Linked DNA regions of Callithrix jacchus. The protein of the gene in region 1 interacts with the protein of each later gene in a pairwise test. Links are inferred from orthologs where the notes say so. Each region holds a gene or a part of one and is shown in the gene's direction. Other genes may lie near its edges.

What was found.
Region 2: the proteins of LONRF1 (region 1) and ADAMTSL4 interact in binary tests that used the Homo sapiens proteins (3 or more experiments, as listed by UniProt). The two-hybrid records come from large-scale screens. The link is inferred for Callithrix jacchus from reciprocal best matches to the Homo sapiens genes LONRF1 and ADAMTSL4.
Region 3: the proteins of LONRF1 (region 1) and NTAQ1 interact in binary tests that used the Homo sapiens proteins (3 or more experiments, as listed by UniProt). The two-hybrid records come from large-scale screens. The link is inferred for Callithrix jacchus from reciprocal best matches to the Homo sapiens genes LONRF1 and NTAQ1.
Region 4: the proteins of LONRF1 (region 1) and KRTAP13-1 interact in a two-hybrid assay, tested with the Homo sapiens proteins (2 studies listed by BioGRID). The two-hybrid records come from large-scale screens. The link is inferred for Callithrix jacchus from reciprocal best matches to the Homo sapiens genes LONRF1 and KRTAP13-1.
Region 5: the proteins of LONRF1 (region 1) and KCTD9 interact in binary tests that used the Homo sapiens proteins (3 or more experiments, as listed by UniProt). The two-hybrid records come from large-scale screens. The link is inferred for Callithrix jacchus from reciprocal best matches to the Homo sapiens genes LONRF1 and KCTD9.
Region 6: the proteins of LONRF1 (region 1) and TRIM42 interact in binary tests that used the Homo sapiens proteins (3 or more experiments, as listed by UniProt). The two-hybrid records come from large-scale screens. The link is inferred for Callithrix jacchus from reciprocal best matches to the Homo sapiens genes LONRF1 and TRIM42.
Region 7: the proteins of LONRF1 (region 1) and BYSL interact in binary tests that used the Homo sapiens proteins (3 or more experiments, as listed by UniProt). The two-hybrid records come from large-scale screens. The link is inferred for Callithrix jacchus from reciprocal best matches to the Homo sapiens genes LONRF1 and BYSL.

The regions. Positions count from the first base shown.
Region 1 is NC_133514.1:29,000,471-29,004,541, forward strand, and holds the start of LONRF1 (LON peptidase N-terminal domain and RING finger protein 1), read left to right. Parts: upstream 1-1,271; 5' UTR 1,272-1,336; coding exon 1,337-2,057; intron 2,058-4,071.
Region 2 is NC_133519.1:10,461,713-10,465,212, forward strand, and holds part of ADAMTSL4 (ADAMTS-like protein 4), read left to right. Parts: coding exon 1-55; intron 56-332; coding exon 333-688; intron 689-857; coding exon 858-1,533; intron 1,534-1,777; coding exon 1,778-1,880; intron 1,881-2,444; exon of another isoform or gene 2,445-3,154; coding exon 3,155-3,291; exon of another isoform or gene 3,292-3,500. UniProt on the Homo sapiens protein: Positive regulation of apoptosis. May facilitate FBN1 microfibril biogenesis.
Region 3 is NC_133517.1:73,988,315-73,992,589, reverse strand, and holds the start of NTAQ1 (protein N-terminal glutamine amidohydrolase), read left to right. Parts: upstream 1-1,475; 5' UTR 1,476-1,583; coding exon 1,584-1,666; intron 1,667-4,275. UniProt on the Homo sapiens protein: Mediates the side-chain deamidation of N-terminal glutamine residues to glutamate, an important step in N-end rule pathway of protein degradation.
Region 4 is NC_133522.1:36,448,920-36,451,558, forward strand, and holds KRTAP13-1 (keratin-associated protein 13-1), read left to right. Parts: upstream 1-1,274; 5' UTR 1,275-1,325; coding exon 1,326-1,844; 3' UTR 1,845-2,139; downstream 2,140-2,639. UniProt on the Homo sapiens protein: In the hair cortex, hair keratin intermediate filaments are embedded in an interfilamentous matrix, consisting of hair keratin-associated proteins (KRTAP), which are essential for the formation of a rigid and resistant hair shaft through their extensive disulfide bond cross-linking with abundant cysteine residues of hair keratins.
Region 5 is NC_133514.1:16,082,236-16,085,735, forward strand, and holds part of KCTD9 (BTB/POZ domain-containing protein KCTD9), read left to right. Parts: intron 1-432; coding exon 433-538; intron 539-1,244; coding exon 1,245-1,378; intron 1,379-3,500. UniProt on the Homo sapiens protein: Substrate-specific adapter of a BCR (BTB-CUL3-RBX1) E3 ubiquitin-protein ligase complex, which mediates the ubiquitination of target proteins, leading to their degradation by the proteasome.
Region 6 is NC_133518.1:43,744,948-43,749,165, reverse strand, and holds the start of TRIM42 (tripartite motif-containing protein 42), read left to right. Parts: upstream 1-1,418; 5' UTR 1,419-1,584; coding exon 1,585-1,925; intron 1,926-4,218.
Region 7 is NC_133505.1:50,424,008-50,428,049, forward strand, and holds the start of BYSL (bystin), read left to right. Parts: upstream 1-1,242; 5' UTR 1,243-1,302; coding exon 1,303-1,570; intron 1,571-4,042. UniProt on the Homo sapiens protein: Required for processing of 20S pre-rRNA precursor and biogenesis of 40S ribosomal subunits. May be required for trophinin-dependent regulation of cell adhesion during implantation of human embryos.

The DNA.
Region 1 (4,071 bases):
TTTTGCTAATTTCAGATATAGCATGTTCAGATGAACTCTCCAATTAGCAACTTCCTTTACTTTGAAAACCTCATTTTCTATGAAATATTACATATGAATTATTACATATGATTAGTCTAACGTAGTTAATAGTGGAATAGACGTGATCTTAAAATCTATTAGATTCTGTGATTTTGAACAATTAACTTTGTTTCCAAAGATTTGAAAAAGGACTAAAAATTCTAAGTGACTCCCCTAATTCTAATATCCTATAATCAAATCTACAAATATTTTCAGCGGAGAGCTTTAAATTTGCTGCTGTGAAGTTTAAGGAAAACAGAACCCATTTTATATCAACCCTATCATTTTCTTCTGTCGGCAAAGCTGCAGACCCTGCTTTGGTTGTAGTAATATGGTGACCGCCATGTGAAAAACATTTTTCTTGATGTTTTCTTTTACGAATGCCAAATATAGACTTTAGCCAGCTGTAGGGCAGTTCTCGAGGTGTGGGGACACCTAAGGAAACTGGGGGCTTTCTCCCTCGAGGTGCGTCGGGGATGAGCTTTAAGCAGGGCTGGAGGCAGTCAACCGGGCACCAGGAAACACACCTTACCCTCTGGAGGAAGTCGCCCCAGGAACGTGGGTTTTTTGTTCAAGTTTAAAGTTGAGGCCTCTAGACCCGAAGAGTCCGAGTCATCGGGCTACGGTGCCCTCCTAGACCCCCTGCTTAGGCGCGCCCACCTGGAACCCAGGCACAGACGAATGAAAATGTAGACCCGCACCTGACAAGCACTAGGCCACGCCAGGAGAATCCCGCCCGCCAAGAGTTGGGGCAGGTCCCGCCTGGGCGGGCGCCTCGGGAGAGGGGTGGAGACCCGAAGTCCCCCGCGGCAGGGGAGTGCCCTCCAACCAGGCAGGGGCTCGGGCCACCGCAGACCGGGGACGTCGGCGGCCAGGCGAGCGGGGTCTAAGGCTCCCTGCTTCTTCGGGCTTTGTTCCGTCACGAGCCGAGTCCTCCATTCCGGAAAAGCCGATAGCTCTCCGCCGGGAGATTCATCCGATCTGCGTCTCTCGCTGGGAGCGGGCTCGGAAGGGGCGGGGCCCAGCGCTCGGCTCCTTGGTAGCGCGGCCGCGGGCGGCGTGAGGGAGTCCCGGGTGCAGTCGCCAAGCGGGCCCCGCCCTCGCCAGGCCCCGCCCCCGGGGCTTCCCGGGCGCGCGCCGCCCCGCCGTGTCCGCGCGCCACGCCCCCCTGCTCGCGGGCCGCGTGCGGAGCCGCGCGCCCGGGAGGCTCCGGGACCGTGGCGGCGGGCGGCGGCGGCGGCGGCGGTGGCGGCGGCGGAGCAGCCCTCCGCGGGCCATGTCCTCTCCGGCGGTGGCGAGGAGCTCCCCGGAAGGGAGTCGGGAGATGGCCCCAGCGCCGCAGGGCCGAGGCCGGTTCTGGGAAGTGGGCGGCGGCAGCGGCCACCGGCTGGAGCGCGCGGTCGCGGAGTCGGATCGCTGGGAGCTGCTGCTCCGCCGCGGGGAGCTCCTGGCGCTGGGCGGCCACCTGAAGGGCGCGCTGGAGGCGTTCGCGGCTGCGCTGCGCCGCGGGGCCCCGGCCAGGCCTGAGTGCCTGGGTGTCCTGGTGGACTGCCTGGTGTTCAACTACCGGCTCCGCCACGGGCTGAGCTGGAGCGCGGCCCCGACTGCGGGTGCGGACGGCGGCGCCGGCGGGCTCCTCAGCTGCCTGGGCTGCCGGGGCTTCCTGAGCGAGCCGGTGACGGTGCCCTGTGGCCACAGCTACTGCCGCCGCTGCTTGCGGAGGGAGTTCCGCGCTCGCTGCCGCCTCTGCCGGGACCGGCTACCGCCCGCCACCGCCAGTGCCACCGATGCTGAAGGGACTGCCCCGCGGCCGCCGCCTCTGGCCGCCGCCATCGCCGCCTCCGACTTCAGAACCAGCGTCGTCCTCAACCACCTGGCCGAGAAGTGGTTCCCAGGCCAGCGCGAGCGGGCCCGGGCAGCCGGCCGGCTCGGGGAGTTGCTGCACCAGGGGCGCTACCGGGAGGCCCTGGCCGCCGCCTGCGAGGCGCTGCGAGCAGGTGACCGCGCGGGGATGCGGCGGGGCCCGGCCGACCGCACCCTTCTGGCCCCTAGGGCCCGGGACCCGGAGCTCGTCTGCACCCCGGGAGGCTCCTCTGCTTCCCCGAGGCCGCTGGGCCACAGGAGTGTCGGGTCTTGGGGTGCTGGGGGGTGTGGGAGGGGGCGGCGCCCCGGGGTGCTTCGGTCACAATGGGGATCGCCCTGGAAGCCGACTGTGACGCGGCGCGGGGAGGGGCGCTCAGCGCGGGGTTCCCTCGACCGCGGCCTGGCTGTCGGGCGCGCGCGCCGGGCGCGGAGTGGGTGACCGGGACCGAGGCCGCCCCAGCGCGGGATGGGTGGGAGCTGGGCGAGCCCCAGCGTCCGCTCGCTTCCTGCCGCGCGCTTTCCGGGAACTGACTCTCGGGCTGGGCCCGCGGCGGGGAAATTACTGCCAGGGCAGGGAGAGAATCCTCCGCGAGGGGAACGAGGCCGGTCAGGCGGCGTCTCCCTTCCCCACCCACAGAAGTCACCGGGAAAATTGGGAGCCGCGGGAGGGCAGAATTGCGTAAGCTGGGGGCGGGGGGCGTTGTGTAACGAGTGACGTCCGGTGGGCGTGGCGGGAGCTCCGCGCGGGCAACCAGCACGGGTAGGACCCGCAGGCCGCCGAGCTTGGGACTTCGGGTGGACCTGCCCTGGGTGGTCCCTTGCTACCTGGAAATTTCTGGACTGGCTCCTCTTGAAAGTTTCAGCTGGCCTGTTTCAGAGCATACTTATTTCCTATCTACTTTCCAGTGCACCTAGTGTATGGTAAAGATGAGGGGGGTTCCCAGATCCGGAGTTCTTTGCCACGCTTCTCTAGGCCTTTCCACTCATGATCAAGCTGTGAGGAAAGGCCTTGTAGGTCTTGAGTGCATTTCTCAGTCTCCAAGAAGCAGCCTCGGCCTCCTAACCTAGGTTAGCACTTTCCTTCCTAAGGTGGTTTTAGGTGCCAAAAGGGGGCAGTGTCAGGTTTCTCTTACATAAAAGAGTTGTTCTTTAAATCGGTAGTTCTCTACCAGGGGGATTTTATCTCCCCTCTCTCAGGGGACATTATCTAGAGCAGCATCTGGAGACATTTTTGGTTGCACCTCTTGTGGGGCTGGTGCTAGTCCCAACAACTAGTGGGAGAGGTGCGGGAAGCTGCTCAGATATCCTAGAGGCTATCAGGCCCCTTGTTTTAAGCGTATTTCAAGATTACAGTGTCTGTCCATTGGCGTGAAATGATAGTTGGGGGAATGATCCCCAAGAAAATAGACATGTAAAATAGCAACTGACTTTGGGTATTACAGGTAAATGTATAGCCTATGTAACTGAAAGGATCATCTTTCGGGTTATCTTTTGCCCCACGTGCTTAGTCATATTGAACTAATGTCAAGATCTTGAGTTTTACCATTAGAGTTCGCAGCACAAATCTCGGAGATTTTTGTATTCTTTCAGCGCCTTTGTGAGGAATAGGCAATTATAGAATGATGGGCTCAAAACAAAAGAAAAGTATGTGGAACACAGAATTCTGATACAGATGACTCTGCCTCTGAGTTAATAAAGAGAAGAGAAACTGGACTCCGCTGTACAGACCACCTAGTCGCTGACCATGGTGTGATTTTTGAAGGGGGGAAGCAGAAGCCAGGCAGTGAAGACTTGTACACCGTCATACAGTTAACTGGTTGAGAGGCAGCACTGAATCTTCTTCCACTTCTCCTAAACGTTGGTTTAGGGTTCATCTTGCCTATAGCTCATCCAATGAAAATGTTTAGTATACCTTTCCAAGGAAGTTTCTTTGGTCACTGAGGCTGAAACTTATGGACAGTACTATTCAATACTACTCACTACTGATTCAGTGATTTGACCTTAAATTGGGTGTTTCACAAGAATCCAGGTCCTCATCCATGGAAGAACAGTGAGCACATTTGCTAATAGAGTTCTAGCTTAACATTCTGTGACCAGTAATATTTTAGTTAACAGAGATTCTGGTTCTTGAATCGAGGATATTATATT
Region 2 (3,500 bases), on another chromosome or scaffold:
CCGGCTGTGTCTGCTTCTGCTTCTGTCCCTGCCTCAGCTCTGCCTGGATCAGGAGGTGAGCTCAGCCTGCCACCCTTTCGTCTCCCCCAGGCTCCCACCCAACCTCCCCAGGCCACGCCTCCATTGCCCACAGCTCACCTGCCTCCCCTGCCAACTCCCCACCTCCTTGCCTCCTGACACCAAGAGGCCGAATTCTCATCCTCCCTCTGCTACCGAATGTGACCTTGGACTGGTAGTGACTCCACGAGTCTCAGCCTTTCTCTAGTTGAAGGACAGATCAGGACAGTTCCCTCTAATCCTTCCATTTCTGTCTGACCGTTTTCTCTGCATAGATGTTGTCCGGACACTTGCTTCAGACACCCACAGAGGAGGGCCAGGGCCCCGAAGGTGTCTGGGGACCTTGGGTCCAGTGGGCAACTTGCTCCCAGCCCTGCGGGGTAGGGGTGCAGCGCCGGACCAGGACCTGTCAGCTCCCTACATCGCAGCTCCGCAGAAGCCTGCCCCTCCCTCCCCGGCCCCCAAGACATCCAGAAGCCCTCCTTCCCCGGGGACAGGGTCCCAGACCCCAGGCTTCTCCAGAAACCCTCCCCTTGTACAGGCCACAGTCTCGGGGAAGGGGTGGCCCACTTCGAGGTCCCGCTTCCCGCCTAGGGAGAGAAGAGACCCAGGAGCTTCGAGGGGCCAGGAGGTGAGGCTTGGGTGGAAGAGGTGGGCCTTGGGCAAGGTGGGTTTGTGACATGAAGGAAAGGGGGGCACAGATTGCTTCCGAGGGCGTGTCTTTGGTGCCAGGAAGTGAAGTGGGGACAAGGGTCAGAGGTGGTCAGAGCTGTGCCCCCACATCTGAAACACCTTCTCAGGTCCCGGCTTCGAGACCCCATCAAGCCAGGAATGTTCGGTTATGGGAGAGTGCCCTTTGCATTGCCACTGCACCGGGACCGCAGGCATCCCCGCAGGCCGCCCAGATCTGAGCTGAACCTGGTCTCTTCTAGAGGGGAAGAGCCTCTTCCATCCCCGACTCCAAGAGCAGCAGCATTCTCCTCAAATGGCAGCTCCCGGACTGAGCTCCCTCTCCCATCCCCCCCAGCAGAACCTCTAAGCCCTGAAACTGCTGAGACAGAAGAGCCCCCCGGAACCAGGCCTGCCCTGCCACGGCACCACCCCAGAGCCCAGGCCTCTGGCACAGAGCTGCCCTCACCCACCCACTCCTTAGGAGAAAGTAGCTTTTTCCATGCATCCCCTCAGCCCCAAAGGCCAAGTTCCCAGGGTTGGGCTGGTCCCCAGGTAGCAGGGAGACGCCCTAATCCTTTCCCTTCAGTCCCTCGGAGCCGAGGCCAGCAGGGCCAAGGGCCTTGGAGAACAGCGGGGACTCCTCACGGGCCTCACCTGGAGCCTGACCCCCAGCACTGGGACGGCTGGCTGCCCCTGCTGACCAATGGCCCCCAAGCCAGCTCCCTCTGGAGCCTCTTCGCTCCCAGTAGCCCTATCCCAAGATGTTCTGGTGAGAGTGAGCAGCTGAGAGCCTGCAGCCAAGCGGTGAGCCTCCCTGGACCTCCTCTCCCACCTCAGCCTCCAGTGTGGGCCTCCCCACCCTGAAGCTGGGTCCTCAGCTTGTCTGCTGGGCACCTGAGGGAGAAGGGCCTTGGCGTCTGACCACATCAGGGTAGGGGCCTTGGAGCTCTTCCACTGGCCTGAGCCTCCTGGCTGCTCCCCAGGGTCAGCCCTGACCCTACTCCCATTTTGCTCCCCAGCTCTGACTCCTTTGTACCCCCCACCGCAGCCCTGCCCCCCTGAGCAGCCAGACCCCCGGGCCCTGCAGTGCGCGGCCTTTGACTCCCAGGAATTCATGGGCCAGCTGTACCAGTGGGAGCCCTTCACTGAAGGTGAGGTTTCTTGCCCACCCTGGGCAGTGGTGGCTTGGAATTAGGGATGAGGGGAGAGGAGACCCCTGCTTACTCCCAGCCGGGAATGACTTCCAGCCCCTCTGCTTCCCCTGAGGGCTGTGCCTTCTTCTTCTCGCTGGGGCTGGGTCAGGAGACAGAACAGGTGGCGAATGGTCTGCAGAGGGGTTGGGCTGGGAGGAAGAGGTGTGGGAGGCACACTTTGACTCCTCTGGGAAAGTCATCACCGGAAGTCGGGTGGCTGTGACGCAGGAGGGCCATGGTGGGAGAGATCCCGCCAGCCGTGATAGCCAGGTGGGGGTGTGCTGCGCATCCTGGGCGCTATCGTATCAGTTGCTCCTGGGTTACCATCCATCATCCATCTCATTTTTGGTCTATGTTCTTTTTTCTTTTTTTTGAGACCATGTCTCCCTCTGTTGCCCAGGCTGGAGTGCAGCGGTGCGATCTTGGCTCACTGTAACCACAGCCTCCTAGGTTCAAGGGATTCTTCTGCCTCAGCCTCCTGAGTAGCTGGGCCTACAGGTGTGTGCCACCACGCCCAGCTAATTTTTGTATTTTTTTTTTTTTGAGACGGAGTTTTGCTGTTGTTGCCCAGACTGGAGTGCAATGGCACGATCTCGGCTCACCGCAACCTCCGCCTTCTGAGTTCAAGCAATTCTCCTGCCTCAGCCTGCTGAGTAGCTGGGACTACAGGCGCACACCACCATGCCCAGCTAATTTTTGTATTTTAGTAGAGAGAGGGTTTCACCTTGTTGACCAGGATGGTCTCGATCTCTTGACCTTGTGATCCACCCAAAGTGATCCTCGGCCTCCCAAAGTGCTGGGATTATAGGTGTGAGCCACTGCGCCCAGCCTAATTTTTGTATTTTTTTTTTTGGTAGAGACAGGCTTCACCATATTACCCAGGCTGGGCTTGAACTCCTGACTTTGTGACCCACTCGGCTCAGCCTCCCAAAGTGCTGTGATGACAGGTGTGAGCCACGGCACCTGGCAGGCCTGTGTTAATTGGCACCAAGACAAGCGCTCATGAGCTCTGAACACACAGAATCATGGGCGTCAGGGATGCTTCTCTCCGTTCAGAGCCCCCTTGATGGTCTCGGTGGCCTCGACTGACCTGACCACCTTCTCAGTTTGTGCAGTTGCCACATTCCCTCCATCCACGGTGACCTGGGCAACCTCAGGGTGTCCCCCAGAGCCTCTCTCAACTAACCTCCCACGAGGGAGCCTACTAACCACCTTTCTACCCTGTCCCTTAGTCCAGGGCTCCCAGCGCTGTGAACTGAACTGCCGGCCCCGTGGCTTCCGCTTCTATGTTCGTCACACCGAAAAGGTCCAGGATGGGACCCTGTGTCAGCCTGGGGCCCCTGACATCTGTGTGGCCGGCCGCTGTCTGGTGAGGGAAGACAGAATGTGTGTGCCTGCACACAGACACACACACGCATATGCACACAGACACACACATGCATATGCACACAGACACATGCATATGCGCAGACACATACACATGCATATGCACAGACATGCACACATGCATATGCACATAGACACAGATACACCCACATATGCACACACAGATACACATGCATATACACAGACATGCAC
Region 3 (4,275 bases), on another chromosome or scaffold:
CTGTGTAGTTTGGTTTGTTTTTGCTTTTTAAATTGTATTTTTGTTTTATAGGTCCTTTGTGATTTATGCTTTAAAGGGGTTCTGTTTAGATGTGTTTCCAGGACTTTTTTTTCAAGATTTAGAGCTTCTTTTAGCAGTTCTTGTAGTGGTGGCTTGGTAGTGGCAAATTATCTCAGCATTTGTCTGGAAAAGACTGTATCTTTCCATCATATATGATGCTTAGTTTTGCTGGATACAAAATTCTTGGCTAATTATTTTGTTTGAAGAGACTAAAGATAGGGCCCCAATCCCTTCTAGCTTGCAGGGTTTCCCACTCATTTTAAAGGAGAAACGTTTACCAGAGTTGTTATTTAGCATAGAGGCTATGTGGAAGTTTGTATTAAGAGCTGAGAGGCAATAAAATTGGTAACTGACAGGAACTATGCTCGGTCTTTAGGATTTATCAGCTTTGAGACTCCTGAGACTGGAGAATCCGACTGTGGATAGCTAAAATCAATGTAACATCTCAGTTTTTATAATGAGAAGTGTACCCCCATTAGCTATCTATGCTCATTGCAAATATGAACAATTCAGAAGACTAAAGTGTAAAGTGAAAGTCCTTGAAACTTAAAGTCCCTGATATTAATACCATTCATTCACCAGAGATAAACACTATTTTAACAATATGATGTCTTTTCTTCCAGACTGCCAGTAATTGAACAAATATATGATTAACACATAAAGGATACCATATGAACTCTTTAAACTTCTAAAATTTACTGTATCAGGGAATTAATATACCTTTTCGAGCCAGTAGATATAGGTCTTCCAATTAAAAAAATTAAGTTACAATAGAGTGAGATTTGGGGTGCTATCCTTTTCGGAAAGCGTCCTCGATGAGGTCATATTTGGAATTACCCTTCACGCCCCACGTCTTCTCTGGGCTCCCGCGGACTCCAGGCTGAGTGCTGAATTGTGGATTTTCATACCCAAACCTCTGTTATTTCAGTATCTCACCTGGTTCCTCCACAGCGCAGAAGCGCATCCCAGGTTGGAAGAGCCTCTCCGGGGAGACTCAGCGAAGCGCTATTCAGGGCCCAACTCAAGCCCAAGCCTAGCTCCTCCTCAGGTCGTCGCCAGAGACCCCACTTCTCCCGAACCTCACCGGTACCCCGCCCCTGACTCCGCCCACCACAACACGCGGCCCCGCCCCTCCCCACCCCAGGCTCCACCCACCATCCGGGCTCCGCCTACCCGGAACCACGATGTCGTCCTTGTTCGGGGCTCCGTCCACTGGGAGCTCGCGCCACTCACCCCACCCCCGACCCGCCCATTTAGCTCGGGCTCCACCCTCCCAGGAACCTGCGCCGCTCGCCCCGAGCTCCGCCCACTTCGTCCCGGGATTCCCGCGCCGGGAACTCAGGCTGCTGGCCACGCCCCACCGCGCTCCTGGCCCCGCCACCCAGAAACTGCCCCGGCTGCCCCGCGCTCCGCTCATCCCGCCCTGGGTGCGCGTGCGGGCCGCTGCACGCCAGCCCCTTCCTTTGCTACGTCAGGTCCAGTCGGTCTTCCTGCGGCTGGGGCCCTGGCTGAGCTAGCCGGCCATGGAGGGTAATGGCCCCGCTGCCGCCCAGTACCAGCCGGCCAGCCCCCCGCGGGACGCCTGTGTCTACAGCAGCTGCTACTGGTGAGGAGACGCGGGCGCAGCCTCCGGGTTTCCCCGGCTCCTGGGCCGCGAGTCGCAACCGTGGCTTTCCTCTTCCCGGCCCCTTCTCGCGGGCGCTCCAGGCCTCGACCGGCGGGTTCTACAGTTTCTGCGGGAGGAGGGAGCAGGAATGGCAGCTCTCGTCTCTTGAGTAGAGCGTGGGCTATTGGATGGGGTTGGGAATTCTCCGGAATCATAGGGTCGTTAGTGCATTTCCTGTGCTTGGTGCTTGTGGGTTGGATTTGCTCTGCAGATCTCTGCTTGGGGGCAAGGCAGGGGTGGAGCTCTGAAAACCTTTGGAAGTTACTCTGCTGAAGCTTGTGGGGTTTAGGACTTAGGTGAAGGCTATTTTAATTTTGGAAGAGAATGGAGGCACAGAGAGTTTGGTGTAACTTGCCAAGGTCACCCAGCTAATAACCCTGAATCCAGTTCAGGCTCCCTGACGTCAGAAACCATGATCTTAACCGTGTTGTCATTATAATAATGGTTACATTTACACAGCGCTTGCTTTAGGCCACGCATTATTCTGGGTAGTTTGGGTAACATAAATCACTGAGCATCACAGTCACCCTAAGAGGTAGGTATTGTTATCCTCATTTTAAAAGATGAGAGCACTGAAGCACAGAGGGCTACAAGTAATTTGCGCAGGGCCACGTAGCTTGTGAATGAAGGAGTGGGAATTTACAGGCAGAGTCTGGCCCTGGAGTCCACGCATTGCATTTCTGTCCTAGGCCACCTCTGCAGCTGAAGCACCACCCCTGCCTTGGTACTTTTTGATTCCGATACCTGCTCTTGCCTGAGTAATGGCTTCTTCCCCAGCTTCCAGTCCTTGCACAGGAAACCTCAGGGCTCTCTAAAATTACTCCTCCCCTTTCTGCTGGTCACTAAACCAATGCCACCAAGAGCTTAGCATTTGTTTGGCCCTGATTGCATGTCAGGCTCAGTGCCAGGTGCTTCCATCGATGTGCAGGAGGTAAATTCTTTTATTATCATTATCTTCATTTTACTAATAAAAAGCCTGAGTCACAGAGAGGCTGTTGTGTGCCCCCAGATCATACATCTAGCAAGTGGTGGTGCTGAAACTGGAACCTCTTTGTGATTCTGAAGTTCATGTGTCTTAACTGTTGCACTGTTTTTCTGCCCTGCCTCTCTTCTAAATCCTTTTAGTTCTCCTCCCTAATGTCCATTCATTGTTTTATTCGTTCTTTCAATAAATGTTTGTTAGGCAGTTGGTAATATGTGGTACACTTCTGGGCACTGGGACTATAGCAGTGAACAAAATCGACAAATTCCCTCATGAAGTTCTTGTTATATTTTGATGAGAGAAAAGCAGACAAGGCCAGGTGTGGTTGCTTAGGCTTGTAATCCCAGCACTTTGGGAGGCAGAGGTGGGTGGATCACTTGAGGCCAGGAGTTTGAGACCAGCCTGGCCAACAAGCAAAAACCCTGCCTCTACTAAAAATACAAAAATTAGCTGGGCAGGGTGGTGGGTGCTGGTAATCCCAGCTACTTGGGAGGCTGAGGCAGGAGAATTGCTTGAATCCAGGAGGTGGAGGTTCCAGTGAGCCAGTGCCACTGCCTTCTATCCAGGGCAGCAGAGTGAGACTCCATCTCGAAACTAAACAAAAAACGACAAAAATGAGTAAGCAATGCTTGGGTGGTGGTAAGTGCTGTGAGAAAAATAAGATAAAGCATGGTGACTTATTTTCTATTACGATATTTTGAGAAGACATTGTTATCAGGTGATAACTTGAACAGAGATCTGAAGAAAGAGGGTGAGAGCTTTGCAACTTTTGAAGAATGGTTATTTAAGCAGGGAGGATAGCAGGTACAAAGGCTCTGAGAAGGAATCCTGCTGTGAGTATGATAGGAACAGCTCAGAGGCTGGTACAATTGGAGTACTGAAGTAAAGCAGTCTTGTAGAAGAATGGTAAGAGATGACCACTCTACCACAGGGTTTCTCAGCCTTGGCTCTAGTGACATTTTGAGCATGAAAATTCTTTGCTGTGGGGGCTGTCCTGTGTATTGCAGGATGTGTAGCAACATCCCTGGCCCCTACCCACTAGATGCTGTTACCACCCCAGCCCTAGATGTGACAACTGAAGATGTCTCCAGACATTGCTAAGTGTCCTGTAGGGGTTGGGGGGCAAAATCACCTCTTGCTGAGAACCAGTTCTCTACCCTGTCTGAACACATCAGGTAGGACACCACACTACTTCCTGCAGCTGTGTGTGTGTGTTTTAAGACAGTCTCAGTCTATCACCCATGCTGCAGTGCAGTGGCGCAACCTTGGCTCACTGCAACCTCCGCCTCTCCAGCTCAAGCCATTTTTCTGCCTTAGCCTCCCCAGTAGCTGGGACTACAGGTGCCCACCACCACGCCCAGATAATTTTTGTATTTTTAGTAGAGACGGGGTTCCACCACGTTGGCTGGGCTGGTCTTGAACTCCCAATCTCAGGTGATCCACCCATCCAAAGTGCTGGGTTTACAGGTGTGAGCCACGGTGCCCGGCCATCCTGCAGGTTTTTTAACTTGAAATGAATGCCTCCTGTTTACTTCTGGGTCAGTAGTGCCTTTCCTGTGCTTGGTGA
Region 4 (2,639 bases), on another chromosome or scaffold:
ATTAAAAAGTAATTCAAGTAGTTTTGATATACTATTTCTAAAACACACTGAATTTTACTTCCATTTGTTCTGCAGAAAATCATGTTGAAAAAATCATTGTCCTATGTGGAGATGATCCAAGAGGATGCAGCCAAAAAATATAGGAAAAGGTTATAGATGATGATGATAATGGTATATTATTGTCTTGATTTTGTGATGTCTTGAGTTTTGTTAACTTTGGAAGTGTTTATTCTATATTAATATCTGTGTTTATATCTATTATTATATTCATAATATGGTATTTTTAATGAGGATCCCCAAATTATATTTTTCCACACCCACACAACCTAAATCCATCTCTTTAAAGAGGGCTGGGACAGAGTCACGTCCCACAAGAAGAGGGAAAAACATAAAAGCTGGTGGCATTATTCTGGAAATACTCAGAAAGCATTCAGAATACTGAGGTGGGGGTTTTGAGGTGTTATAAGCATGCAGGCTCCAGGACACTTACAAATATGAATGCATCATACAAAAGCTATTAAATACGTCTATTTGAAAGCATTTTGATTTGCTTTCAGGATGGACTACCCATCAGTTAGCTGGAACCCTGGCAGTCCTGATCATCCTTCTGCTACTGTGCTTTATTTCCTACCTTATCTTAGCAGTGAGGTGAGGTTTGCTTTTTCCACATTTGTCCATATTGATGTTTTTCATTTTTTTTGGCTTTTGTTTTGATTTCTTTTTTCTAAACACTAATTTTTTTTTCTAAACGTGTTCAAGATGATATCTGGTTTTAGTTATCTCTCAATCCCTCTGGATTACTTTTACATAGTCCTTGAGACAGCAATGATAAACATTGCTTATAGTAAATAATAGACGGCAAACTATTTTGGAGAGTGTGAACCAATAAAATTTCTGCTGCTAGGCCACTGACAAAAAATATGAGTACATTGCCATCCCCATCCAAGACAGAAAGAATTTCCCAGCCAAAACAGGAGCAAGTGTGTAAATCATGGCCAGAGAAAATAAGAGGGGTCTTCCTGGCCATAATGGAGTGGACATTAATCACATACAGTCATAGCATTTGTAACATAAATGTATTTCATTGACGCAGAGCTGTAAAAACAAAATGAGTTCTTCCATAAATATAAGATGAAGCGTGTTAACTGCAATTACAAAGATTACTAAGTTACTTATATGCAAATGTGGGAGCTCAAACACGTGAAGGATGACCCTGTCAGGTGCCACACCCACAGTTGAAAGTATATAAATGGTCCCTTCCAGGAGTGGCATCCAAACTCAGATCTTCTCAGTGTAACTCAGCTGAACTCACATCTCCCGTCAACATGTCCTACAACTGCTGCTCTGGAAACTTCTCCTCCCGCTCCTGTGGGGGCTACATGCGCTACCCAGGCTCCTCCTGTGGCTCTTCCTACCCCAGCAACCTGGTCTACAGCACTGACCTCTGCTCTCCCAGCACCTGCCAGCTGGGTTCCTCTCTCTACGGGGGCTGTCAGGAGCCCTGCTGCGAGCCCACCAGCTACCAGACATCCTGTGTGGAGTCCAGCCCCTGCCAGACCTCCTGCTACCGCCCGAGAACCTCTGTGCTCTTCAATCCCTGCCAGACGACTTACTCTGGGCCTCTAGGCTTTGGCTCCAGCAGCTGCCGCCCCCTGGGCTATGGATCTAGGAGCTGCTACTCAGTGGGCTGCGGATCCAGTGGCTTCAGATCCCTGGGTTATGGAGGCTGCGGCTTCCCTTCCCTGGGCTATGGATCTGGATTCTGCCGCCCAACCTACTTGGCTTCTAGGAGCTGCCAGTCTTCTTGTTACAGACCAACTTGTGGATCAGGCTTCTATTATTGATCATCTTGTTAAACTGCTAATTTTATTGGCCGATGCCATTAATGTCTCTACTCATAACCTTTATTGTCTTCATCTTGTACAGAAAGAATTAGCCTCTTATTCTCTAATTATCAAGTTCTCAATTTGTCTTTGGCCCCAGATACTGACTGGCAGGCTTCATCTGAAAACCTGTGTACTAACCCAAAATAATCTTGAAGTACACATTAAAGTTAGAATTTATATTATTTTATTTTTTCCACAATTGTGGAAAAAGTCAAATCATTTTAACGAAATAAATCTACTGGTCTGATATTCAGCTATGTTTGTGGTGGTTTTTTATTGCCAAGTTTTGGTTGTGACATATTTAGGGGATTATTATGAAACAACTGGTATATATATAGGAATAGGTTTGAAAACCATATGAAGTTTGGGATTCAAACAAACTTTTGGGGGTTCAGAGATTTTTGTTACTCAGACTACAGGTAGTAGATGTCTACTAAATACACAGGCTTTTGTTCATTAAAATCTCAGACTCGGGAATTAGCTTGGTTCCCTTATGAAATGTTGATTCTTGTGACAAGGCCAATAAGAATAAGGTAGAAAACTAGCTGACAGTTATATCAGGAATCTTCAGGGAACAAAAATAAAACTTAGATCTATATGGTTATAGACATACATACAAGCAAAATTGAATTGAAGACAAATCAAAATGATTTCAAGTAACTTTTTTAAAGTCACCCAGTATTTGTTGGCAATCACGATCAAATGTCTGTATCTTATTGATGAGAATTCAATATGATCCAATTATCTACACAT
Region 5 (3,500 bases), about 13 Mb from region 1:
GAATTTCACTTAGAACATCAAGATTCCTACAGTAATAAGAGAAAATTCACATCCCTAACAAGTTTATGCCTTCCTTACTCATACATTTTGACTGTTTCATTGACATGCATAGGAGTGTTTATAAAAATAGAGATAGAGATGTCATAGTTCTGACTCTCCCAACTTTTTTATCTAAACCATTATGTTTCATGTAAAATGAACATGCTGTTGTTAATTTGCATTTGCTTTTTAAAAAACAGTTGTTTAAAAATTTTTTTTTAATGTTTCCAGTTCTTACTGGGTTTAATTAGAAAAGCCTTTATTGTAAACAAAATAATTATGAGTGTATTGAGTCGAGCCCTTTCCCTTTTTCTATTTTTTTCTTTTACTGTTTGAGCTAATTTGAACAAAATTATGAACCTCATAACCAGGACTTTTCTTTTTTCTTTGCAGTGTGCAAATCTCCAGGGAGTCAAAATGCTCTGTTCTAATGCAGAAGGAGCATCCCTGAAACTGTGTAATTTTGAGGATCCTTCTGGTCTTAAAGCCAATTTAGAAGGTGAGATCCTATCTGTAAATAGCTATTTATGGAGAAAGCAGACCATAAAGGAAAAAGCCCTGGAAAGTAATTGTTATGGGTGAAACAGGATAGCAATAGGGGATATGTTTCTTCTGTCATCATATTTGGAGAACTTCCAAAGAAGTAGATACCTTCTTTTTTTCTCAATCAAATGCTAATCTAAACTGAGGACTTAGAAGAAATAAAGCCTCGAAAATTAAGATTTTAGTTGGAAAATTAAATATCAACATCTTAAACTTTCAAATGTAATATAATGTTCTTATACTGGCCAAAAGGAAAAATTTCTTATGCATAAAGCCAGGGAGTTTTAAAAAATCGTTTTTAGATTTAATATATTGTTTCTTAGTTTGTTATTGTTTTGTTATATCTGTGACTGACCACTTTGTTTACTTGTATGTTTTAGGAGACTACTTAACTCCCTCATCATAAACCTGTAGAGGCACAGTATGAAAGTGTTAACTATCATAAAACAGAACGAAGTTTCTTCCTTTAAAAGTACTGATGAAAGCATTCTTTCATCAGTGAACTCTTTATATATATGTTTGTTGAGAGACAAGATTTTAGATTCATTTCCAAAAGTTAAAGGAGGCTGTCATTATTCACCCCATTAAGTCATCTTGCAGTTTTATTGAAGTGGATAACTATATTTTTAAGTTAAGCTACTCCCAGAATGTGTTCACTGTAGGTGCTAATCTGAAAGGTGTGGATATGGAAGGAAGTCAGATGACAGGAATTAACCTGAGAGTGGCTACCTTAAAAAATGCAAAATTGAAGAACTGTAACCTCAGAGGAGCAACACTGGCAGGAACTGATTTAGAGGTGAGTTCACCAACATTTTAAGAGTTTTTATTACTCTAGACTTAATAAGTATTTCATGCAAAATTTATTGAAATCAAAACAAAGTAGTTGGCTGGTAAAACTGCCAGGTAACATGCCAACACAACTGGAGGGATATTTTCCTTTGATTTGTGTGTTTACACAAATAAGAATTCCAGAGCAAGATTCACTTACCTAAGTCATAGATGCCACTTGTGGATTGGAAGACTCACCTGACATTCAGTCTAAGTTGATTTAATTTCTCTCCTTTTCCTGAGTTTTTCTTAAGTAAATAAGTTTGATAGATGCATTATTAATCTAATATATTGCATTTTCCATAAAAAATAATTCTGAACAGAATTAAATGGGCTAGATTACTTCTTAAACTACCTAAGAAATTTAAATGATACCCAGGTTTGAAATCAGGTCCAGGAAAAGTCTATTTAACATTGGAGCCGTATGTTTTTTGGTTTTCAGCTTGAGACTATAATTTTGCCAACTCATCTTTTTCATAAGAATTGTATTTGTATGTCTTCTTAATCTCTCAGTTTAGCTACCAGACTTGATAGCTGTTGATAGGTCTACACCAGCACCATCCAGTAGCACTTAGTGCAGGAGGGACACGTTCTATATCTGTGCTGTTCAGTATAGTAGCTACTAGCCATAGATAGCTGTTGAGCACTTGAGATGTGGCTAGTGTAGATGAGAAATTTATTTTTAAATTTTATTTAATTGTAATTCATTTAAATTTAAGTAGCCACATGTGGCTGGTAGCTATGAAATCCGGCATAAATTGCATTGCAGAGAACAGGGTTTCAAATTTTAGCTTGCTGTTAATTTTTTTTCTTAATGCTTTTGCCTAGATCTCTTGATAGCTCTCAGTAGCAGAGGAGCAGGCCTCTTTCAACTTGAAGGCAAAAAGAATTGACCCAAGATTATAATCCTATCACAAGCACAATTATTTATTGTTTGTTACATTACTTCCATCTAAGATTATATTTTTTTTCCTAGGTTTTAGTTACTGTGTAGTCAGTGTGGCTTAGCAGCAAAAACCTCCCTCTGTCTGATTGCAAAGACTGATAAGACTGACTATTGAGGGGAGAGCTGCTGATATCTGTTCTCCTAACAGGTTATGTTTAGTCACCCTTCTCTCTAACCATTCTCCCCCTATCATATCCAGGGACTTAACTAGAATCTCTATCTTATCTATCAGTCTGTGATCTCAAGAGAAATTAAGAGCTGGGCACAGTGGCTCACGCCTGTAATCCCAGCACTTTAGGAGGCGGGCAGATCACCTGAGGTTGGGAGTTCGAGACCAGCCTGACCAACATGGTGAAACCCCCGTCTCTACTAAAAATACAAAAATTTATCGGGGCCTGGTGGCACATGCCTGTAATCCCATCTACTCTGCAGGCTGAGGCAGGAGAATCTATTGAACCTGGAAGGAGGAGGTTTCATTGAACCGAGGTAGCACCATTGCACTCCATCCTGGCAACAAGAGCAAAATTCCATCTCAAAAAGAAATTAAAAAACAGCTTCAAACTGTGGTAGTTACACTACTCTGTACATCTACCAAAACTCATTGTATTATATGGGGCTTTAAAAAGAAGGGTAGTTCCTTGCTATGAAAATACTAGGTCTAGGGAATGGAAAAATCTGTTATGCAATTTGATTAAGTAAAATCCCATCTCATGCCTTTGTTGTTGCTGTTGTTGTTCTTGGATCACAGTAAAATTATTTCGATAATCTTTATTACCTTGGGGCCGGGTGCAGTGGCTCACACCTGTAGTCTCAGCACTTTGGGAGGCCAAGGAGGGCAGATCACTTGAGGTCAGGAGTGTGAGACCAGCCTGTCCAGCATGGTGAAATTTTGTCTCTACTAAAAATACAAAATATTAGTCAGGCGTGGTGGCGAGCACCTGTAATCCCAGCTTACTCAGGAGGCTGAGGCAGGAAAATTGCTTGTCCTGAGAGGTGGAGGCTGCAGTGAGCCAAGATTGTGCCACTGCATACCAGCCTGGGCAACAAGAATGAAACTCCTCTAAAAAAAGAAATTGTGTGTGTGTGTGTGTGTGTGTGTGTGTTACTATGTTAGAATCCATTCTGTATTTTTTTTTTTTTTTTG
Region 6 (4,218 bases), on another chromosome or scaffold:
CTAAGGGCTGGGGGAAGGCAGGAACAGAGAGAGGCTGCTTATGAGTGTTTTTTGGGGGTGAAGAAAATATTTTGGAACTAGATAATCGTGATAGTTGCACAATTTTATGAATATACTGAAAACCATTTACTTTAAAATGGTGAACTGAATGGTAAGTGAATTACATATTAGTAAGTTTTTAACAAGACCTTACAGAAACCAATAGTAAAAATGTATCATAAATCTGGGAGTGAAACTCCAACCTATGTGCCTGGAGGATGGGGAGAAATATTAATGAAACAGTTTTGGCAAACATGGAGGGAAAAGGTGTTTCACTTTTTTGAACATCTTACATTACTTGCTGGTATTAACTGGCACATTTATTTAAGAAATTTGGCAGTTTGTATCAAAAAAAGATCAAGCACATATTCTGTGATCCAGGATTTTCACTGTTGGAACTCTAATATCAATGTGTGGCTGGCATAGTTGGCACTCAGTGATGTTCTTTCCTATTATAGAGGTGATAACCATAAGGAGAGATAATAAATTATGCACTTAATTCCTGCAGCCAAATTCAGCTCTTCTGCTTTTTACAAAAATAAGAAAATGTTCACACTATAACGTACTATGACCATGAAATTTCTGTTCCTTTAATCTTCGCAAGCTGCATAAATTGGAAAGTGAAATTTTTCTGTAAAATATAGGGTCTTGTTTCTAAGGATCCTGAGCATATACTAGCAGAACAGTGAAAGATTTCATGTAGAGTTCCAGTCTCTTTTTAAAAGGCATGTAGTGGGGTGGGAATAGGGTGGGGGAAAAGTGAGCAAGCTTGAGCCTCACCCAAACACCATGAAGCTACAAAAAGCCAAGAAATATTCAGATTGGCTTATGTATAAAGCTTCATGAAAATGAGCAGTGACTATGCATTGATTGATAAAATCAATTACTACTGAAAGAAGTCCCTAAAGTGAATCTATGTGTTTTTTAACTCTCTCCTAATGGTGATATCTCTTTAAATATCGCATTGCTATTATCTGGGGGATATATAATTCCTTTGTTCAAATAGAATTCTATCAGTTCCTCTAACATGAAGAAAACCATGTTATTCTACTTTGTACCCAAGCCTTTCAGTCTATGAAGACATAATATGAAGTCAACTTGCCCAAATTGCAGGCAGAACACCAAACAAGGAGAAACAGCTTCCGAAATCTCCATTTTCCAAAAGCTGACAAATGACAACTGAACTTCCGGAAGGCTCACTGCATCACCACTCCTCTACAGCTGGTTCCATGGAAGCATGGAGAGCCCATCAACATACCTGCTACACCCACAAGGCCGCATCCTCCTACCCACCCAGCATGGTAGAGAGAGAGGGATTGTGACATAAGCAAATACCCTCAGGCTGATATATGTAAATGCCAGCCTATGAGCTTCCTGGTAGGGACACCAACAGTGAACGCCTCATAACAGCCAACTTCTTGCAACTCCCAAGCTGACGGCCTCACAAGGGGGAGGAGAGACTCCTCTACTGGAGAACTGATAGCAGTATTCTGGTAGAGGGGGCATCAAAAATCCTAGCGGGGCAGTGTTAATCATGTAGGCACCATGGAAACTGCTATGTGTGTTTGCTGTCCATGTTGTACATGGCAGCGATGTTGTCCTCGGTTATGCTCCTGTCTATGCTGCAAGTTCATCTTTACCTCAGAGCGGAACTGCACCTGCTTCCCCTGCCCTTACAAAGATGAGCAGAACTGCCAGTTCTGCCACTGTACCTGTGCTGAGAACCCCAACTGCCATTGGTGTTGCTGTTCTTGGGCCAATGATCCCAACTGTAAGTGCTGCTGCACAGCCAGCAGCAACGTCAAGTGCTACTACTATGAGAGCCGCTGCTGCCGTAATATCACCGTGACTTTCCACAAGGGCCGCCTCAAGAGCATCCATACCTTGTAAGTGCCAGGCACCAGATGTGCAGCCACATTGGCTCAGGAAAACTAGGGACCCCTTGCTAGCTGTGAAGTCCACAGGGCAGGCCAGTGCCCCTCTGTGTTTATTTATCTAAAAAAAAGGAGCCAAGAATTTTGTAGCAATTAACTGTATCATATATGGTCACTATGTATGTAGACCATGAGCTCCAATCTAAGCATCATCGACTAGAGCACTTCACTCTTCTGAACCCTCTCTCATCTGTACAAAATAGTAATAGCTAATACTTGGTGTTTACACAATTTTCCAGGCATTTCATGCATAACCCAAAGTCCACTGTTCTCATGAGGAAACTGAGCATTTGAGAAGTTTCCTTCTCAAAGGAAACTTTGAGAAGAAGTTGCCCCAGGATGACACAGCTGGAAAGATTCAGAGTCAGAATTGGAACCTAAAATTTGTGATCTTAACTCTAGAATGCTGTATTGCAAAACAGAGACAAGACCCCCCCACCCCCATGATATTGTAGATATAAGAATTAATGTATATTCTTTATAATCTGCATGTTATAGAAAAATAAAAAGTGCTCATTTTCTTCCTATTAACTCTAAATACCTGCAACATTTATTGGAAAAGTAAGACCTTCTATGGGGCACTTTTGACCCTGAGAGCCATTTAAGTACCCCAGACATCCAGGAACTCCAACTGCCTTCTCTTTTTCTCATCCAGAAGTCACGGAACTTGGGGTCTCAATTATTCATTTGGAGTACTAATCCTCCATATCAGGTCTTACATTATCCTCACCTGCTCTGCCAAACAAGCCTTTTTATGTCACACATGAGGGGAGTCTGAAGTACTAAGAGCACACTTCTTAGAAAAGATGACAGCACTATAAGATGACAGGATTAGAAGAAGCAGAAAAATGGCAGGCCAGTTTGAAAGCTTTCAAGCCTGGAAAAGCAATTCTGCAAGCAGAAGTTTAGTGAACTTAGGGGAAAGATATTATCCATCTTGCCATTAAATCTTTAGTAGCTCCTTAACACCCATAACTCTCCACCTATGGCCCTCTCATAGTATCTGCATAAATAGGAAATCCAGGGATTCTCAGTCCAAGTCTAGAAATACTAAAGTGTGGGAAATAGTGTCCACATTCCTCTCTCAACTACCTAATTCTCTGTGCAACAGCAACTGAGCCTCTGAGCCCATTTCAACAGGAAAAAGATAAAATTGGTCTTTAGGAAAATGCCTCAGGCATCAGTTGCTCCCTAACGTTATTGTGCATTGAAGTCACTTGGGGATCTTTAAAAATTACTGATGCCCGATATCCACCCCAGAAACATTCTGATTGTATTGGTCTGGGGTACCACCTGAGCATCTGAATTAATGAGCATCGCCCCTTCAGGTGATTCTAATGTGCAGAATGGCCTGCAGGTGCAAAGGTGGGAAGCCAGGAGATTTGACAGGTGATACAGTAAGAATCCAGGTGCAAGAACAGGCCTGATTTTGGGAGAGAGGGGAGGCTGTGCAGAGGAGCAGAGGCAGGCTATCTCAGCAAGAAGATAAAGCACTGGTCTTGATGCTGCTTTGGAATGGAACCATGGCCACTGAATGCCCTGACCAAGCCTGAGGTTTGTGGAGGATGCGCAGGGATGCTAACGCATGTGTCAGGAGGTTGGCTCTGGGTGCTTGTCTTCAATCTGGCCTCTCTTCTGGCTTCTGACTCTTGGCCTCCTCTGCTTCTCATCACCACTTTCTGCTCAGCACCTTGCTTGTTCTGCCTCACTCTGGTCTCATTCATCCCTCTCTACCTTACTCTTTTTCACCTCTACCACAGCTCCCTAGGCCATTAATACCTGTCTCTTAGCCCTGAGCCCTCTTTCTCGTCCTCCAACATCTCCCTCCCTACTTCTTATTTATGAAAATTCTAGCTCATGAGCTTCCTAGTAGGAGTACCACCTGTGAAGGACTCACAACAGCCTCTTTATATTATACCTTGATTCTCAAGGCCTTTTTTTTTTTTAGCAAACTAAAGACCTGTACCTCCAGGTGATCCCTTCGGGACACAAGCAGGAGTCTGGGAAAGCAGAGAGGAAACAGAACTGAGAACATTGAGGCCAGCATGCCTAGAGCTCCCAGATCCCTAAAGGACAAATTTTTCAGGTGCCTTAGTCTACACAGGGAGCATTCTCTGTCGCCACATGGCCACTCCATTCCAATATGCTTGGGAAGTATCTGTGACTGTGGACTCAGACATAGGTCCCTGGCCAAGGGAGGGGGGAAGAAGAGAGGGACACATAAGGAATGCAAGACAACAAAAGC
Region 7 (4,042 bases), on another chromosome or scaffold:
CCCACAGGAAAGATGCTCACACCTCCTGCGATAAGAAAAAAAAATGTCTGGGACCTAGTACCTTACAACTAATGCCTCCGCGAGCGTTGTACCTTTCCCTGCCACCTCATCTTCCAACTGAGACTTAAAACATATGAAAGATAAAAACTCCATTGAAACTAGACCAACCATGGAATTAAACATAGTGAGAAGCAGGTCCTAAAGAGTGCCTGGAACCACGATCTCCTTCTTATCAATAGCCTCTTTTTTCCTCTAGACCCAAGATCTTAAAATGGGCAAATTACAAACAGACACCAGCTGGTCTAACTGCATTTGATGGCTGAGACAAGGGTAGGCGAAAATCTCAAAAAAAAAAAAAAAAAATACTGTCTCCTGATCGCTTTTAACCTACTCCCTCCAACCCTGTCTGCAGGTAGGTCCTAATCCAAAGTCCCTATTTCCAACCTTGAGGTCCAAGTGCAGACAGTACTATGGCCTCACGGGAAGGAAGATGTACCCATAAGGGAAGAAGGTACATAACCATTGATAGGTCCCTGGTATAAAACCTTTGCTCTGCCGCCTTCCAAGAGGTAAGAGCGCATCTCCGAGGAAAAAGGCCCAGGGAACCCGCGGCCCGCACGGTATCCTCTTATCCAGATAACCCGAGGACATTTCGCTCAGCTCCCAGAGGACGGCGGGCCATGGTCAAGGACCTCTTCCCGGCCCTTCACAACTCCAAATCCCGCCCCACAAAACCCCTGCAGTCCTACCAAGTCACTCCCATGGTGTCGGGACAGGAAGGTGGCAGGATCACACAGTAGAAATGCGTCGTTCCCAGTCCGCCCACAGGAACTGCTTCAGTTCCCCAACACAGGCTTCGGTCGCAGAAGGGATTCCGGAAATACGTAAAAACAGAGCGCCGGGTCCACGCCTTCCCCAAGGAATGGGGCGTGTCTTGGCACCCGTCGGTGACGCCTCCAGTGACATAATCAGTGGATTCCCGCTCTCATGTTTCTAGCTCCGGAAATTCCCGGTTGGCTGAGCACTCTAGGCTTAGATCCATGAAGCTAGAAGAACGAGACTTAGACTGCACTATTGAGAGACGCCAACGTTAAAGGAAGTAAATGTATTTGGGAGTCCAGCTCCGGAACCCAGGAGCTCTTTTAGTGGGAGGGGCGGTGCTGATAGCGCTTCTGGCCTCCGATAGCTAGAGGGCGCTGTGATCGCAGCGTGGCCTCTTGGGAGGTGGGAGTTCACCCAAGTGTATTCTGGCCTTTTCGTCGTCCCCACGTGCGAACCTTCCCGGCAGTATTTTCAAGAAAAATGCCCAAGTTCAAGGCCACCCGTGGGGCCGGGGGTCAGGAAAAACATGCGCCCCTGGCTGAGCAGATCCTAGCTGGGAATGCGTTGCGGGCAGGGGTCCGGGAGAAGCGGCGGGGTCGTGGCACCGGAGAAGAGGAGGAAGAGTATGTGGGGCCTCGGCTGAGCCGACGGATTTTGCAGCAAGCACGGCAGCAACAGGAGGAGCTCGAGGCCGAGCATGGGACTGGGGACAAGCCCGCGGCGCCGCAGGAACGCACCACGCGGCTGGGTGAGTGTCTGGGATGAGGTCCGAACAAGACAATGGCTAGCAGCGGGGCCGGGGGCGGGGGGGAGGACAGCTAAAAAGTGTCCGGCAGGGGACTTGCAAAAGTAATGGAATGGGAGACTAAGCAATGGCCAGAGACCTCCGCGCCCACTCCTAGTTTTAGGCACTCCCTTCTAGGCACCCCCGAAGTTAGGCCAATAGGAAGTAATCGCTCGCGCCACTAAGTGTTCTTAGCATTTATCCATTGGTTTTGTAAATATTTATGGAAAACCTACTACGAGCTTTGCGCTATGCTCGAAGTTCAATCGAATATTTGAGTACAGAAGTAACAACATACAGACACGTCTGATTTAAGGACCTTACAGTCAAGCCCAGCGGAGAGACAATTACGTAGACTCTTAGAATAATATATTTCCATGATAAAATATCGTTTCCCTGGTGACAGTAGCATTGGTCTTGAGAAGCTTCTCCGATTGTAGGACCTTTAAGCTGAGAACTGAAAAACGAATGGGAAGTGTAATGAGCAGAAAACACGTTTCGCAGACAAAAAGGGAGAGAAATGAATTGACGTTTGATAGGTTCTTACTAGGGAGGGAGTGCTTACCTCTGAGGTGCTTCATCCACTTCTCAGATCTCATCTAAAGCAATATTTGACACAATTGAATAGTGGCCTCCTGCCCACAGTATCCTTACTTGGGTTATAAGACATCAACACTGCTGTTTCACTGCCACCTCACTTCTCAATATCGTTGGCTGACTCTTACTTGCAACCTCTTATCCTCAGTCCTCTGACCTCTTCTCTTCAGATATTCTCTAGTGCTGTCAGGTTTCATGGTTTCAATACCATCTCTTGGGTGACTACTCCTAACTTTATATTTTAGCCCTGATCTCTTTCATGAAATCCAGATTCTTATATTCAACTGCCTATTTGGCACCTCCAATTTGAAACAGCTCAAATTTAACATGTACAAAACCAATCCTGACCTTCTCTCCAAACCTGCTTCTCTCACCACTGTCTCAGTGAGTAGCATGATATTCTTTCATTTGCTAAAGATAAACATGACTCCTCTCTCTCCCTCCCTCCCCACATCTGATCTGTAAGGAAATTCTGATAACTCTGCCATCAAGTTATATCCAAAATCAGACCACTTTTCACCACTTTGGAACACCATCCTGTTCAAGCCACCAGTCTCTCACATTAGATTATCACAGACTCACCTGGATTATCACAGTAGCCTCCTAGATAGTATCTCATATTCTCCTTTTTTTCTTTTCTTTCCTTTCCTTTTTATTTTATTTTTAGACAGAGTCTCTCGCTCTGTCTCCCAGGGTAGAGTGCAGTGGCACAATCTTAGCTCACCGCAGCCTCAATCTCCTGGGCTCCGGCTATCTTCCCACCCGAGCCTCCCACATAGAGCTGGGACCACAGGTGTATGCCACCATGTATCCACCTAATTCTTTTTTTTTAGACAGTCACTCTGTCACGTAGGCTGGAGTGGTGTGATCTCGGCTCCCTGCAACCTCTGCCACCCAGATTCAAGCAATTCTCCTGCCTCAGCCTCCTGAGTAGTTGAGGTTACAGGTGTGAGCCACCCCGTCCAGCTAATTTTTGTATTTTTAGTAGAGATGGGGTTTTACCATGTTGGCCAGACTGGTCTTGAACTCCTGACCTCAGGTGATCTGCCCACTTCAGCCTCCCAAAGTGTTGGGATTACAGGCATAAGCCACCACGCCTAGCCGCTAATGCTTTAATTATCTGTAGAGATGAGGTCCCATAGTGTTGCCCAGGTTGGTCTCAAACTCAGGCGATCCTCCCTGCCTTGGCCTCCCAAAGCGCTGGGATTACAGGTGTGAACTACCATGCCCTGCTGTATCTCGTACTCTTCAGAACACTCAACAGCTGGGGTACGGGGGTCTACAATCCCTATACCATCTGCCTCCTTGCCAGTCTGACCTCTTCTACTGCTTTCTCCTTTGCCCATTCCACTCGATCTATATAGGCATCATTGTGTTTTGTTTTGTTTTGAGACAGAGTCTCACTCAGTTGCCCAGGCTGGAATTCAATGGCAAGATCTTGGCTCACTGCAACCTCCACCTCCCAGGTTCAAGCAATTCTCCTGCCTCTGCCTCCCAAGTATCTGGGATTACAGGCACCCAACACCACACCCAGCAAATTTTTTTTCTTTTTTTGTATTTTTAGTAGAGATAGGGTTTTGCCGTGTTGGCCAGCCTGGTCTCAAACTACTGACCTCAGGTGATCCAGCCACCTTGGCCTCCCAAAGTGCTAGGATTACAGGCATGAGCCATCGCGCCTTGCCCATAATAGTTATCTTTTAACCCAATATATTTATACATTTATTTATGTCTGTCTCTTCCAATTAGATGAGATCAGTGCGTTCAGGGTGGTATGGTCATAGACTGTCTCCTCCAGTTAGAATGTAAGCTGTATAAGAACAAAGTTTTTTAGTTTCTCTT